3 linked regions of the Lepisosteus oculatus genome follow. The protein of the gene in region 3 binds, or shares a complex with, the protein of the main gene of each other region. Links are inferred from orthologs where the notes say so. Each region holds a gene or a part of one and is shown on either strand. Other genes may lie near its edges.

Evidence for each region.
Region 1: snrpe (region 3) and cwc15 share a complex: the UniProt entries of both Homo sapiens proteins name them as parts of the minor spliceosome. The link is inferred for Lepisosteus oculatus from reciprocal best matches to the Homo sapiens genes SNRPE and CWC15.
Region 2: snrpe (region 3) and small nuclear ribonucleoprotein Sm D3 share a complex: the UniProt entries of both Homo sapiens proteins name them as parts of the U7 snRNP complex. The link is inferred for Lepisosteus oculatus from reciprocal best matches to the Homo sapiens genes SNRPE and SNRPD3.

Annotation. Positions count from the first base shown.
Region 1 is NC_090700.1:12,135,970-12,141,220, reverse strand, and holds the start of cwc15 (protein CWC15 homolog), read left to right. Parts: upstream 1-2,313; 5' UTR 2,314-2,375; intron 2,376-3,124; 5' UTR 3,125-3,133; coding exon 3,134-3,264; intron 3,265-3,659; coding exon 3,660-3,772; intron 3,773-4,642; coding exon 4,643-4,734; intron 4,735-4,847; coding exon 4,848-4,958; intron 4,959-5,251. UniProt on the Homo sapiens protein: Involved in pre-mRNA splicing as component of the spliceosome. Component of the PRP19-CDC5L complex that forms an integral part of the spliceosome and is required for activating pre-mRNA splicing.
Region 2 is NC_090717.1:9,777,260-9,782,510, forward strand, and holds small nuclear ribonucleoprotein Sm D3, read right to left. Parts: upstream 3,294-5,251; 5' UTR 3,148-3,293; intron 2,221-3,147; 5' UTR 2,207-2,220; coding exon 2,081-2,206; intron 1,900-2,080; coding exon 1,707-1,899; intron 1,206-1,706; coding exon 1,141-1,205; 3' UTR 599-1,140; downstream 1-598. Other genes in the region: protein GUCD1, read left to right, coding at 4,130-4,136. UniProt on the Homo sapiens protein: Plays a role in pre-mRNA splicing as a core component of the spliceosomal U1, U2, U4 and U5 small nuclear ribonucleoproteins (snRNPs), the building blocks of the spliceosome.
Region 3 is NC_090700.1:38,045,233-38,050,483, reverse strand, and holds snrpe (small nuclear ribonucleoprotein E), read left to right. Parts: upstream 1-2,001; 5' UTR 2,002-2,131; coding exon 2,132-2,185; intron 2,186-2,726; coding exon 2,727-2,753; intron 2,754-3,181; coding exon 3,182-3,244; intron 3,245-4,386; coding exon 4,387-4,465; intron 4,466-4,620; coding exon 4,621-4,676; 3' UTR 4,677-4,906; downstream 4,907-5,251. UniProt on the Homo sapiens protein: Plays a role in pre-mRNA splicing as a core component of the spliceosomal U1, U2, U4 and U5 small nuclear ribonucleoproteins (snRNPs), the building blocks of the spliceosome.

The sequences.
Region 1 (5,251 bases), about 26 Mb from region 3:
ACTGATAATTTTAGCATTTCAGGAGCAGGATTGACTTTCTAAATTGTTTTAAGTATCTTTATTATGCATTTTGTTTATGTGAAACCTCCAGTGTTACTGTTGGTATCAATGTTAGGTGCTATTTCAAGATTCACAGTTTCCTGTGAGTTTTTTTGGTGTTTCAGTTACAGGACACTGTTGAAATTAAGGCTTCAGACTCAATTTACTCTATTGATAACCTAGCTAGAAATATGTTCTGTATTTGTTTCTCACTATACAGAACAAGAACTTCAACATTCCACAATGGCTCAGTAAGAGAAAGACTTCCACCGCTATCGTGTCTATGTACTATTGTCACCATCTAGTGTTAGAGAACAGGCTTGCATTTGTAAAGCTCAGTTCCACCAAAATCAATTTCTCATGTTTAATATATCACTAAACGCCTTACAATCCAAAATTACTAAAGATATATGCATATAATAGGTACATTTGTATTGTACCTTTGTCTTATTGAAGATTTATTCAATGTAACCACTGCAGTCATCAATGACATACATACCCTTTCCCGTTTGTGTCATGTCCTTTATCTCCATCCTAAACACCCTAGCTTTTCAGTCTATAAAAATTACAAAATGTTTCCTAGAAATTCAATGTTAAAAATATGGATCTAAACAACACCTTCCATTTATAAATATTTTTTCTACATATATATAGATTTCCCACGGGGTGCTTTGTTTTCATGCAAGGAAGGGTTTAAATCGCTCAGTGGTAGAAATGCTGTCTGTATGCTGCCATGTAATTTTGCAAACAGCCTATCTGGTGTTCGTTTAATATGCCATGTAAACTGTCAGTTGTCTGTCCATCTTGGGAAGTGAAAAACAAGGACAAATATGTCAGCAGGTTTTCAAAGTCTCTTAAAAGCAACAGCAGCTGACAAACTGGGAGAAGCGGTATTTACAGTAAATTGATTAGGTTAAGCCAGTAACGGCTAGTTACTGTCAATCACACTGGCCCTTGGATAGCAGTGTGGTCTGGATACCACAGTAGTACCCTTAGGAAAATAACCTTGAAGTTTTATATAAAATGCCAGAAGCTTCTATAAATACCTATAAGTCATCCATAAGTGATTTTCATAAGGATATCCATCCATCTATTTTCTAAGCACTTATCTGATTTAGGGTTGCAGGGGAGTTGGAGCCTATCCCAACAAGCAATAGGCACAAAGCAGAAAACACTTTGGACAGAACTCCAGTCCATCACAAGGTAGATACACAGACACACAGACACACCAGGGCCAATTTTCCCAGAAGCTAATTAACCTACCAGAATATCTGTGGATTGTGGGAGTCAACCAGAGCAACCGAAGGCAGCTCACGTGACCACAGGGAGAACATACAAACTCCACACAGATAGAACCCCAGGTGCACAATTGAACCCAGGGTCCCAGTGCTGCAAGACAGCAATGCTAACCACTGCAACCAACATGCTGCATTTCATAAGGGTATACATAACACAGTCCTCTTCAAGACTGATTGCAAACCAGCAAGTTTCAAGGAATAATTCATTGTATGCTTTCAATAACAATATTGTAACTGCAGACATGTTAATGTCTGTGTGCACATCCAAGGAACAAAAACAAACTATTTGAGTTCAGTTCAATGAAAGCAATTTACCAAGCAAATATGCTGTTGTTTTATCCAACTACAATTTAAAGAAGGGGGCCTTTACAAACAGTACAGTTTTTATAACAGTTTAGTATCTAAATCCCCCCAAACTCCCTATCAGTTGTGTCACATGGGTTTCAACATTTTAACTATAAAAAGGAGATAAAGTAATTAATGCATAGAAGAAAGTGTTATAAGCTCTTCATTCTGTATGAAAGGGTATTTGAACTTAGCTGTTTTTATGGCAAACTATAGTTTTATTGTTATTAATAGTTGTATTACTACTGAAAGTAATTAAATGGTACAAGTGTTGCTGAAATACCTTTGCCCTCTTATTTAAATGGTTGTTGCTGGTACAGAATTGAATGTTACCATTAAATGAAACTAAACTGCATTCCAAAACAACCCAATCTTAGATTCTGGAAACTCTGGAGGAGCACTTGCAAATTCTTAGATACTCTCTAGTACCATGATTTAAGATGACATGGTAAATAAAATAGTTTTAATTGAAATAAGACTAAAAGCAGCTGATGTGATACATTTAAAGTTATAAGTTTATTAAAAATGGCTTGACACATTTATTTGGTGTTTTCCACGAGAATTGTTCATATCTAAAAACGATTTTTTTGCGACCAAAAGACTATTTGTCCCATATGACACTCCGTAGAGCCTCTGACCCGTTCCGCGTTGCAGTCTGGGATATCGGAGGTTCTAGTTGTTGTGGAGCGTAATGTAAGATACAATTCATAGGATAAATAAGGTTTCTTTTTGTCATAATTAAATATCTAAGGCTTTAAAATAGAATGCCAAACATTTTATATTATACATTTAAAAGTGTTACATGTAAATCCGTTCAGATCGTTTTAGGTACAAATTATTACAATGTCGGTTTGTAGCTGAACAGCGTTCAATGAAAATTTTCGTACGTTCTCAAAAGGAATATTGTTGAATAATGTCAAAATTAACAGTACAATATTTTTATTTGTTTCGGGATTCTGCTCTATAATTTGTTTTAATTTACACGGTCTAACACAGGTTTCCGAATCTATCAAAACAGTAAAAGTTTCTAGCTTCAACAAATGTGCGTTGAACGCCTTTCTTTTTGTAATCCAGTACCGTGGGATTTCAGTTTAAGAAGCCAAACGTGAAATGTAGCGTTTTTTCACAGGCGTATTCTAAGTCTTCTATCATCGCATGCTAATAAATCTTGGATTTACGACTTTCTTACGTATTACAGCAACTTTGAGGCACTGAACGATAATGTTACACGCATGAACATGTGTCCCATTGCACAGAGGTGGAGGTGTCGGAACTACGTGCTTGGCTGCAGAAAACTGCTGTAATGAGTTTCACCAGGTTTACTTACGGCTGAGAACGAGAGGACCATCAATTGGCACTTGCGCGTAACACTGCCGTTTAAAAAGTTTGCTTCTTGAGCACAGTGAAAATATTGCCCTTTGCTCCGTTTTGCGTTTTTCCAGTGAGTGACGATGACTACAGCTGCCAGGCCTACCTTTGAGCCCGCGAGAGGAGGGAGAGGCAAAGGAGAAGGAGACCTCAGTGCTCTGTCCAAACAGTACTCCAGCAGGGATTTACCTTCTCACACCAAAATCAAATACAGGTTAGGCCTGCTAATCCAGAGTTGGGGTGGGGGGGATTTTATTTAGCAGTAGGTTCAACCACTCCTTGATTGTGAATGCTTCTATTTGTACCTTGTATATGATTTGAACCATGTATAGGTTTATTTGTACCTAAAGTTATTTATCTTGCAATAGTCATTATTTTTTTTCTGTGTAAAGAAGATTGGCAGGTGATGTTCTCACTCAGCACCTTCTTCTGAGAATGAAATTTGTCTTTTGGGGGTGTCTGGAAGTACATAAGCTCGACAGTATAGGTAGATTTCATTTTGAGGTAGAATTTTGAATTAGTTCCCTACTTTGCAACACATCTAAGTCTCCTTGTCTTGTCCTGTTTGCCAAGTATCTTCTGTGCTCACACACATGATATTTCTCTCAGGCAGCCCACCCAGGATGCCCCCGAGGAGGTGCGTGCCCGGGACTTCCGCAGGGAGCTGGAGGAGAGGGAGCGAGTGGTGGTCAGGGAGAAGACCAGGGACAGGCCAGCCAGAGGTGAACGGCACAGCACTAGCAGTTCAGGTTGTGCCGAGGCCTCCGAGCCAAGGCACCCATACTGTTTTTCAAAACCTGTGTGATGGGCAGGAGGAAATTGTGTCCGTTTGTCTTTTTGTCAGAATTAAAGGGGCACTGCAACACTATTTTAATATTTCGGGGTTAGAAAGGATTCAGCATCGATGAGGGCATTTCAAACCACAATAAAAGTAAAATGTGCACAGTAACTTGTAAAACCTCCAATTTACATTAAAAATGGATGAAATTTCCAGGTATGCACAGTGTTATATTCAGGGTTTCAGAACAAAATTTCTGGTGAGGTGTTGCAGCCCTGTGACTCTGTGAACAAGCAGGCTTGTGAATACATCTCATTTAATACATCTCTCGACTTTCAGATGGTTTTGCCAACAAATACAACTTATTTGTTAACTCTGTATGCAGATCACGTTGGAACATTTCTGCGGTGAAGTGTCTGCTGCACAGCCTGTCCTTATCCACTCATACATCACATTACATTAGTCATTACGGTGACTAGTGAGCAGGATGGGCTGCATCATGTCACAGTCCGTGGGAAGTGTTGCTCTTGCCTGCGGTGAGACCAGGGGTTTGCGATAACATGTCCACAGTACTTTCACAAATTTCGCGATTTTGTGCTTCATTCAAAATTTGTATTTTTTTTTCCTATAACGTTGATAAATTTGTTTTGTAACGGAGATTTAATAACCAGTCTGAGAAATTCTGACTGCAGTTCCCGTTTAAATGACTCCACAGCCATAGTCGATTTAAGGGCCTCTTGAGCTCATGCAGTGTTGTATATGAATCAAAGGCTTCTTGATGGATGTTAATACCCATGGTCTTGTTTTATTCCAGAGCACACCACATCCTCCTCCTCTTCTTCCAAGAGGCCACGGTTAGACCAGATCCCAGCAGCCAACCTGGATGCTGATGATCCTCTCACGGATGTAGGTGCCCTTAATAAAAATAAACTGATTTTATTTCCGAATTCAAAATCTTGTGGTTGGGGAAAATGACAGCTGGTGTGTGTGCGTGCTCCTAAACTGTGTCTCTCTGCCAGGATGAGGAGGAGGATGAGGACTCTGAAGAGGACAGTGATGACGACACAGCTGCCCTGCTGGCTGAACTGGACAAGATCAAAAAGGAGCGCGCAGAGGAACAGGAACGCAAGGTAATTCACGCCACATTCAGCAGCACTCAGCCTTTTCACAGGCTGCCTGGATGGACTGACTGTGCCTCAGTTGGGTCAGTGCTCTCCAGCAGCTCAGAGGTTCTATGAACAGGGGAAGAGTAAAATTTGTTCAAATTGTTCAGCTTGCTATTATTTCTGGGGGTGGAGCGGGGGCTCTGTGGCTAAGGATCTGCGCCTGTGGCTGGAAGGTTGCCGGTTCAAATCCCGCAGCCGGCAGAGGAATCCTACTCCGTTGGGCCACTGAGCAAGGCCCTTGACCCCAACTGCTCCAG
Region 2 (5,251 bases), on a different chromosome or scaffold from region 3:
ATGTCGATTCTTTGCTGGGTGCCGATGTTTGTGTATTTTCTTAACTGTACATGCAAACAAAACCCTGCCATATTTTTTTCTAAAAAAGTTACATATATATATATAGCAGTCCAGCCGTGACAGTGTTATTCACTGTTCAAACACTTCACATAAAACCCAGGACATTTATCCCAAGATGAGACCACCCTACTTCTGATTTCTCCACAAAGTACTTTGAAACTATTTGAATCAGGCATGTTGCATGAATGGCACTGGCCTCGTCGGTAAAACTATATCAGTCTCTATATTCTAATGTATTGGATTTCTATAACATTTCACCTCAACACACTCTGCATATTTGAATGTGCACTTCACCCACTGCCAAAGAGCAGCACCCACCTGAGAGAAGTGGTAGATGTGCACCAACAGCTCCTCTACAGAGCAGATCAGGTGGGGGAGTCAGAAATGGCTTCAGCTGAATTAAGAGGGAGCTTCAGAGACACTAGAGTGGAAGATGTGTAAGCTGCCAGATTTAGATTACACAAAACTGAAACACCAGCAGATCACTGGGAACAAAGTATGAAACCTGAAGAGTAAAAAAAAAGGCACAGCTGCACTCATGTTCAACATAAGTTTTTTATTTAACGGCCAAAGATATGAATTACTATTAAAACAAAACCAGACTATGTTGTCCACTAGACATTATTTTATCAATGCATCAATTCTGGAGAAGCTCATAAGGTGAATTATGTTTTTGAAACAAGACTGAATGGAAACCCGACATTTCTTACAATACAAACTTCATTATAAGTCAGTACAAAAGTGACAGAAGTTGAAAATCATCTTTAGACCAAACCTAAAGGCTGTTATGAGGATCAATATGTTGAATTACATAAACAGCTGCCCCTTTCATGTAGATTCGACTGCAGTAAATCAAATGTTAAAGACAGTACTGACTGAATATTGATTTGTTAAAATGTGAAAGTAAAGGAGCTGCACAAACACTGGACATTATACCTATTTTTATTGAGCACCTAAAAAACTTGCCAGAAAAAAAAAATCAAAAATGATTTGCCTTTTAACAGACAACATCGTGAATGATCACCCAACCTTTTAAAAAAACTGTACAGTAAGAAAAGGCCATGAAGTGCACATTGAGGGTTATCGTCTCTTCTGGAAAATATTTCCTCTTCCCATTCCCCCGCGGCCTCTTCCTCTCGCAGCCACTTAAAAAGAAAAAAGTGGACACAATATACAGTACGTGTTAATCACCCTATAATTGCAAACAAGCTGCACTAACTGGCAATGCCGATCAACAGATTACCAACAATACTGCTGCTCTGGAATAAGTTCCATCGTTCAAGAAATGACAGGCCCCTCAGATCAGTAACTTATTAGCAGCCACGTGACCTGATACGAATGTCTTACTTCTAATGAAGGCCTTAACCCATGCACCTAAACCTAAGGAGTTTTAACCCAGGTCATTACGTAGGTGTAGAACCAAGTAACGATGCACACGTCAGCAGGTGGTGATCGAAGAGCACTTTCTAGCTGGCGTTACTTTATTTCAAGACAGTCATCAGTACGATGGACGCTAAGGAATAAATTTAATAAAAACCAATAACTTTGATATTTCTGTAGGGTTCTGCTGATCACGCTGAAGTCCTCTACAGAAACACACCACCTGGAGAACTGTCCTCTGAATTGGAGTCTGGTGAACAACATACCTTGAGCTTTGAGAATGGCAGCCTTCCCTCTTCCAGCTCCAGAGCCCTGGTTTTTGTTCTTCATACTCTTCAACATGGGGGCGTTTTTCAACATGTCCGGCAGGATTAGAAATCTTATCTTGCTGCCCCGGATATAGACCTGTTCCAACTGCGCCACACGTCCATCTCTGTATGTCACAGTGATATTAGACATCTGGAAGACAAAAAAAAGCAGCTTTAAATTCACTTGCATGTGCACAACTCTGCATGAGATTAATTCAAAGAATCCATCAAAAGCACATAATGTGTGAAATTATATGGGGTCACTGGCCTAAAAGGTTTGCTTGGTTTTGTGACCCCTGGCATTTCTCATCTCAACCACTTATCAGGCTTACCTGGCAGTTCATATTGTCCTCTGCTTCTATAAGCTTTCCTCTGTACACTTCGCCCGTGTTGGTTTCACAGGTGACGATGTGACCCTCGGCCTCATGCAGAACTTTGATAGGCACTCCGATGGACATTTTAACTGGGACCTCTAAACAAACACCATGACAGGGAGGCAAATAATTCCAGGTGAGCAATATTAGGCTAGAACACACAAAAACCATGCTTCTGGATACCTTGGAAAAAGCCAGCATCTCTACCCCATGCCCGATAAATTAGATTCTGTCCTGCAGCTCAGTTTGTACACAAGTTAAGGTTACACATCACACGTTTTTGTAAATGCCTGTTATTAGGTAACAAGATTAAAATGCATTCAGTAACGAGTATTAGATTTTGAATTTAGACAATTGTAAAGGGTTTGTATGGACCAAGCAGGCCATTAGCTGTTCACAAAGGAATCAAAACCTGGATACTGGATGCATTTACTCATAGGTACGCATGTTTAGTTCGAGTCTAAAGAGCAATCTGATTTAACCTGGTATATACTATCAGTGATCAAGATGGACCCCAGAGCAAAATTCACTAGTACTTTTAACTTTTTTGACAGTTTGTTAGCATACATTTTACAAAATAGATGTGATAATGTGCACTTCACAAGATTAAAAAAAAAATTAGGCAACTCTTTTTATAGATAATAGACCAGTGCGTTAAGCAACATTCACTAAAACAATCTTCGAAGCAGATATTCTGCACTTTCGAAACATATTCTTCAAAGCAGTAAATGAGAACAAACGGTCTCTACTTCGACACGGCCTTTGTGTTATGGCAAAGCCCAAAGAGACTTGGGTAGCTTTAGCTATGGGAAAAAAAAAACCCATCTCATTAGCAAAAAAAAGTTTTTGTTTTGCATCTGGGAGAAAATACTTCAGGAGAAGGTATATTTGTTTTCTAACGTAAAGTATTTCCACGCCATTCAAATCAAGTTCATTTCCTACCTTCAACGAACTCATAATCTTGATTCCCTTCGTTAAAAGAAAGGTAATATCTTACAACTTGTAATGAAACATAAAATTCTTACCTGTTCACAGCAAATATTGAATTCCTTCTCTTATTTAACCGTTTCCCGGTTTTAATCGTGAACGGCAGCGTGTTTAAAACCTGACCGCCTCGGAGTACGATTTTGTTCGTTTCCAATACCCCACAATGCAACGCGTTAAAGGAAGTCACAAAGTGCTTCCGGTTCGATTTGGGTTTTTCCGTCGTTATGATGAATGTTGGGATTTGTAGTTTAACCAACATAACGTCTTCTAAAATTTCTCAAGAATGAAAATAAGTATAACGGGCTTTCTTTTTACTAAATACCACACAAGGAGGAAACATGTTCTGTTGCTCCAACTTTTTTTTACTGTGCTACGAAAAACATTTGTAAAGATATACAGTAACTCTCATCAATGTATAAGTTCTTATTATTTCATTAAACCTTCTTCTTCGTCACTTGCTGGGTTTATTCCAAACCCCTTCTTTTTCTGAAAAGGAAAGAAAAACAAGTTGAAGATGCACTTGATTTTGTGACGTTTAAGAATGGCTCTAAGCAGCTACCCAACAAAACTAAAATAAAAAAAGAAATAGCCAGTTGTAAGTTGCTCCCCAATAATTTGTGATCGCCCCGAATATCTCACCATCTACTGTCACGAGTAGTACACTGGAGTACAATATATTATAAGAACAGCCTATTTATTCTAGTTCTCGTCCCTCCTTGACTGTGTTTAGAGGGCGCTGTAGGCGCAGCGGTTTTCAAATGAGCGTCTGTGGAAGTCCTCGTTTTGCAAGAGGAAATTGCGTACGGCGGAGATGCAGGCAGAGGTGCCCAGCAGATCAGCACTGTAGTGCCGGAGAGAGGCGGCCCGGACCGGGGTCGTAACTGTGGCTCCTAATGTTCATGTCCGGCGAACAGACCCAGCGCCGTGGTGCTGAGACGGTTTCCTCTCTGAAAATCGCCAGATCGTGCGCAGAAAGTGAAAAGGACTTAACAGCATTATATAAAAAACAAGCAGCACAGAATGACAGGTAAGATGGAGCGTTAGCGTAGTACTCCGTGTCGACGAACTGGATGATTTGGGATGGTCCCGCTTTGTTTTTGTTTTAAATCAGCCCTTGTTGGAAATTAACATATTCAACGATTTCGAGGCTCCAGGAAAGGTCCCGTCGTGCTGTCGAGGTGTTGCGGGCCCTGTTACCACAGGTGTTAAGTGTTTTAATGTACACGACTGTTTCTCGTCAGGCATCTGAAAATAAATTAAGAGGAGCAGTGGTGTGACTGGTTTCAGAAGTTCGCTTTGCGGCTGAGCACAGATGTCCTTCAACCTGCTATGCACTTCTTGTCCTGCGTGTAAAACAAGTTAAAACACTACACGAACCACTATCGAATTAACTGTAAATAAACCCTGGGTCGTACAGTAGCGTGGTAGGTACATTTATTCACCGGTCACGTAAATGGAGTTAACATCCGTGACTGAGCCCTCTATCCCGATTGACACAGCTCCGTACAGCGTGTTTACAGTTTAGTTCAGTGATAAGAGTAGCTCATATCCGTGTTTTTTTCTCCAGCCGTGTATTTTATCGCAGGTAGTTGATTTCAGTTCTGTTTTCGGTGCGCATTTGGAAATGTGCTTTCAGCTCTTAAAATACCAAATGGGATTCGTAATTGGTATCAAGCACGTACCGACTTCTGAGTGTCGTGCGTGTGTGCTGCCTGAGAAGTACTCACTGTACCTTCCTGCAGAAGAAAAATAAAACTGCCTATTCTGGGAATGTCTGATAAACTCTCACTCCCACCTGTGTCTGTTCATTATCAACCAGTGATTAGTTAGACGGCAATTTGAGAACAGACTGCATACAGGTTTGTGTGCTGTAGTTGTTGGAAACAGTACCCTTACAGTAGGGTATGTGTGGCATTCAAGACAAAGAAACAAGATAAATAAATTGCTAAAAAAGCATGCAGATCTGTTAAGTCAGATAGAGATATGGAGATATAGAGCTCAGTTGGAAGGAAAAAAAAAGCAGTGTTTCTCCTGTACCAGGGTTAGGAATCACTGGATTAGACAGTTTCTAATTTGAAATCATTGACGATCCCTAATTATATATGTATTACTGCATAAAAGGAAACAATTGACCATATTGCT
Region 3 (5,251 bases):
AGAATAGTTATTTTCACCTTCACCTATTATTCTATATAGGCTAAGAAGACTTTGAGCTTGGAAATAACTGAGATTGTGGAATGGAATAAAACAAGCTAACAACACTTAATTTTAGGATTTACTGATTAGCATTCACATTTTTTGCACCCAGCCCTGCTGTCCTCTTGAAGATATTGCTCAACATGGCTTCATATCAAGGTTTGCAGAGCTATTTCCCCAAAAAATGGAGTGACTGACCTGTAACTGCTTAATTGCCTGTTATTGCACACACATCAGTGTGTGATTTGTACTCCATTATATTGTCCTGGAAGACCTCCAAAAAATGTTTATTTGTAAATCTTACTGACTGTACTGTGAACACAATGGTCTTTTACATGTGGGGTAGGATGAAATTTGAAAAAAAAACAGATAGACCTAGTTCAGCCAGGTAAAGGGCTTGTTCTGTTACAATATGTATATCCCTTTAAGTGGAGTCTGTATTAATTACGAAATGAGCACTACTTGAGTGGAATTTATCAGTTTAGAGGGAGGGTACATATCCGCGTTTGGTGGAGTTTGCCATTAAATCTGCTTGGAACTGTCAGCTTGTGCTGATAGGCAAAACTGAGCTAAACTTCTGACAATGGTTATTTTATGTACACGTAAAGTAAGGAAATAACTCAAGAGTGTCAGCCAACAAAGTCAGTGCAGTTTGTGGATTGGATTTCAGTTCTCTGTTACATAGTGCACACCAGCTCTAGTGCAAAAGCCCTTTTCACACATCACCAGTGCAGCCAGTGTGCGGTCTCTTCCATTCTTTGGAAATACTGTCTGCAGCCTGTTGCATAAGGCATACATCTTCACTTCAAAAAACAATTATAGGATTTGTAGATGATTCATTACATTGGAAGCACTAGAGGATGGAGGGGTTTTGTAACTTTAGCAAACAGGAGATACAAACTAAAAACACAAAAGGCAAACCCAGTTGCTTTAATGTAATTGTGTACTATAATTTACATCATTTAAAGAGTGTCTTAATCTAAAATGTGGTGCTGAAATTCCACTGGGGACCATGTTTTAATTTTTCAAGAGTGTCGTATCATGTTTTATCTCAACATAGTGCTGTGTTCTCCCCCCTGAAAAACTAGTAGTTTATTTTACAATCTTGAAGCTTCTCAGGGATGACTGTCTTTTGTGGAGGGAATATTGTTTCTCATTTTTCTTCTGCACTGTTCTGTATGAATGAAAGTATATGTACTCTAGTTAAAACATTTCAGTCGGGTGTGTGTCACCAGGCTGCGGATGTTTTCAGAAAGTGAAATAGGTTGTGTTCATGTGAGGGAAATACGTTTATATTTTATTTTTCTCACCATTGACCACAAATCTTAAAAGTGGCTATATTGCTACATTTGAGATGTATGGTCTGTTAAGGGGGCTGGACTGGGTTCCTTGTCCTATTTTCTGTGTCAGTTAAATTTCTGTTCTAATTAAATGCCTGTATACCATTTCCAAAATTCACTTATTTGTAAATAAAAAATGCCTTTTTCAAAACCATAGGTTTGTTTGCATTTTCAGTGGCACTCCCATTTATTGCATATTTTTAATGATAAGCTAGTAAATGGAGGCAAAAACATTCTGTAATTTCTGTCATTATTGATACAAAAACACAAAGACCTGCGGAGTTAGCTTCTGTCAATCGTCCATTTAATTGGGGCTAGATATCATTCTAGGTACCTAAACATTTATGAGAAATTAGGTGGTAATTTTCACTTCCGTTTGGCGAAATATTGCTTTTAGGATGATATTGTCTCTTTTTTACAGTTCTTAAACCAAAAAAACTTTGTTTCGTATGTCCTATTTCCGTAGTCGTACTGTGCAATTGAAGTATACAATTGTAATGGTATAACGACCTCCCATCAGCAGATGGCGCACACATTTTTGTAGCTTACCGAGGCCAGAAACTTGATCCTCCAACGTCCCACGCTGCTTTGAGGTGACCCGGAAATTCCGCCATTGAAGGGAAGTTCAGCGTGGGGGCACCGTCCGCAGAGAGAAGAAAAGAAGCGCGGTGTTCGACAGGAAGACCGGCCCCAGTAATTCTGTGAAAGTTTGTTTTTAAAGTTCTTTTTGAACCAGCAGAACTTACAGGACTATGGCGTACAGAGGCCAAGGACAGAAGGTTCAGAAGGTTATGGTGCAGCCGATTGTATCCTTTGAAACACATAGTACTCTGCGTGCGTTGTGTGAGCCGGGTGTGCATAAATGTTGTGTAGTTTGGCCTAGCTAGTAAGAACTCTTTTTATGTCTACATTGTCGGCGTTCGTACACTGCTATTTACGTTTGGTATGTTGACCTGACTTGTCGTATGCTTCTATGTGATTAACAGACTGATATACCCCTCTATTCGGTTAATATGTACGTTTTTTAAAATTGAAATAATTTGTAATAGTTTCAAATCAGAAAAGGGCATTCTACAAATTGTTTATTCAACTCTGGCCTTACCCAACATGGCATAATTCGCTAGTTTTTTGTTTTGGTATCACGAACGTATTAGATTCTTAACAGTAAATGATTCAGAAACTAGTAATTGGCATGCGCATTTACATTATTTGCTTTTTATTTATATCGCGTGTGATCTTAAAAGTGTGGATTCCCGCTGGAGACCGAAGGCTTTATTCATTTAAACTGATAAAGGAGGTGATGTGAGAAGAATTTATTAACTAATTTTCCTTGACTGATCCCTTCAGAATCTTATCTTCAGATATCTTCAAAATGTAAGTTTTGTTTCTTTGAGTTACTTTCAAAGTCATTAGTTAGCCTTTGGTTGCATTTGTTCAATGTATCGGCTACTTCTACACACGGATTCTCCGTTGAAGACCCAGGTCTTTCAAGTTTCCATGCTTCCAGAGCAAACACGTAATTACAAAAAAATATTTTTACATGATCGTGCTTATGATGTGCTAGGTGCCTGTGTATGAATGCTGAGAATGTATTCCAAAGAACATCATTAACATTTTCTGTAATGAAGGAGTCGGTGATCTGAACATTTTGTAGCCTGCCTGTATGTAACCTCAGTTAAAGAATCTGATAAAACAGTCCTGACACTTTTCACAGGGTTTTCCTGTCACACTGGAGCGGGCTTTTAAGCCTTCAACCACATCTTTCCTTCAGCTAGTTCACTCCTGTTCTCTCTCCTCCTCAGCGATCCAGGATCCAGGTGTGGCTGTATGAACAAGTTAACATGCGGATAGAAGGCTGCATTATTGTGAGTGAATCCTGAGCTCTTCCACAGAACTGCCCCTTTTCTCCAGCCCGGTTGCTGTGCTTTCTGCTTCTGATATCACACAGCAGGGTGTACCATTTTTCCATGACACAGGATTGGATACAGATCAGGTTTAATGGCAGTTTGATACATTTCAGGTTTTATAAGTAGTTTAAAATGGCAGTTGCTACTGCAAATGTATTGGAAAGGGGGTGGCATCATACCTAATATAGGACCTGGCACTTGGTTCTGGCTCCCTTAAAAGAACATGAAGCCAGGCTCAGATGAACTGCTGTTGGTCCAATTAAAAGCTGTTACATTGCTATAGTGTAATTTTGTGATAGTAGTATATACTACTCTCTGTATGGGGGGTTGTTCTCAATGTTCTATTCCAGGGATCTCCAACTAGAGTTCTCAAGACCCCAATCAAGCAGGTTGTATGGGTCACTATTACATCTCTAAAGAGATTTAACGTTACTATTGGGATCAATCTTAACAGATGGTAGTCTTAAATGACCTCTAAATCATTGAACTGATGAAAACTGGAATGTGGATATTTATTCTTTGTACATTAATTGGATTTCTTTATTGGAATGGACAGTTACAAGAAAATTGTCAATAAAGCATGCACATATTTAACAGAGACAAATGTTATAGAAGGGTTTTGAAAGTGTAAAAGTCTGGAAAAGGTCTGGGATTTGTCTATGGGAAAAGAGCAAGCACCGTGAGAGTCTGCAAGTTTTCCTCGTGTTCATGTGGGTTTCTGACAGGTGCTCCAGTCTCCTCCCACAGTCCATTCTGGTAGGCTAATTGGCCTCAGGGACAATTTGACCCTGATGGAAATGTGTGCGTATTTCTGTTAGTGTGTGCATCCTGCAGTGGACTGGTGCCCTGTCCAGGGTGTATCCTGCCTGTGCCCGTTGCTTGCTGGGACAGGCTCCAGCTCCCCAGCTACCCTGAATTTAAAGAAGCAGTTAGAAAGTTCGTTATAATATTAGCCAAGGGAAGCAGTAGGTTTTTTGTGTTGCTGTTTGCACATAAATGAATTTTCTGTGAAGATTAGGTGTGTCATTTTTGAGGGATCTACATTGACTAAATCCCACTTCTTTTTCCCTGACCATCTCTTATAATTTTGTTCATTTTAGGGTTTTGATGAATACATGAACTTGGTGCTTGATGACGCTGAAGAGGTTCACATGAAAACAAAAACCAGAAAACCCCTTGGTAAGCATGTTTGCATTTTTTTTTTTGGTCTTGATGCCCATGACTTTAGCTTTTTTTTTGGTACTAGTCTACATTAAAATGGCTATATGTCCAATTTAGGTGATGCTGAAACAAATACGTGGTTAATCTGAATGACCTGTTTCTTTCTCTTGCAGGACGGATAATGCTGAAAGGAGACAATATCACCCTACTACAAAGTGTGGCGAACTAGTGCACCCAGAGTATCCCTTGTTTAATGGCCAATAGTTTCTTTGATCGGTTGTAGCTGTTGTGGAGCAGGTGATGAAGTGTATGTTGATGGTCATAAGAGTAATTTAGGCTTTAACCAGCCAACTGTATAACAGACAGATGTATGCCGAATGGAGTCTTTCTGACCGCTTATTTTGTATTTTCTTGTGTAGTGTGTACCAATAAAACTGGAGTGCTTTTTGTAATCCTCTATTTTTATGACCAAGGTGATTTTATTTTGGGGAAATTGAACTTTAACATGGACTGGAGAGCACCTTTGAAACTGAAACTGATAGGAAAAGTGTGGACATTCCATTTATGTTGGGAGTGTTCTTCAGCCCCAAGTGATGATGCGGAGCAGTTGGATGTTGTGAAAACTATTTTTTGTTTTATATAAACTGCTCCATTAAAGGCAAGCAGTCTCTCCAGGTCTAAACCCTGGCTCTGTCTCCTTGCTGGTTTACTATGTTGCTCGGCCCTTCCTAATCACTGCTTACATCTGTCTGTATTCTTCCTCCCTGCTGCAGCACGGTTTTTATAAACCACAAAGCCGACATT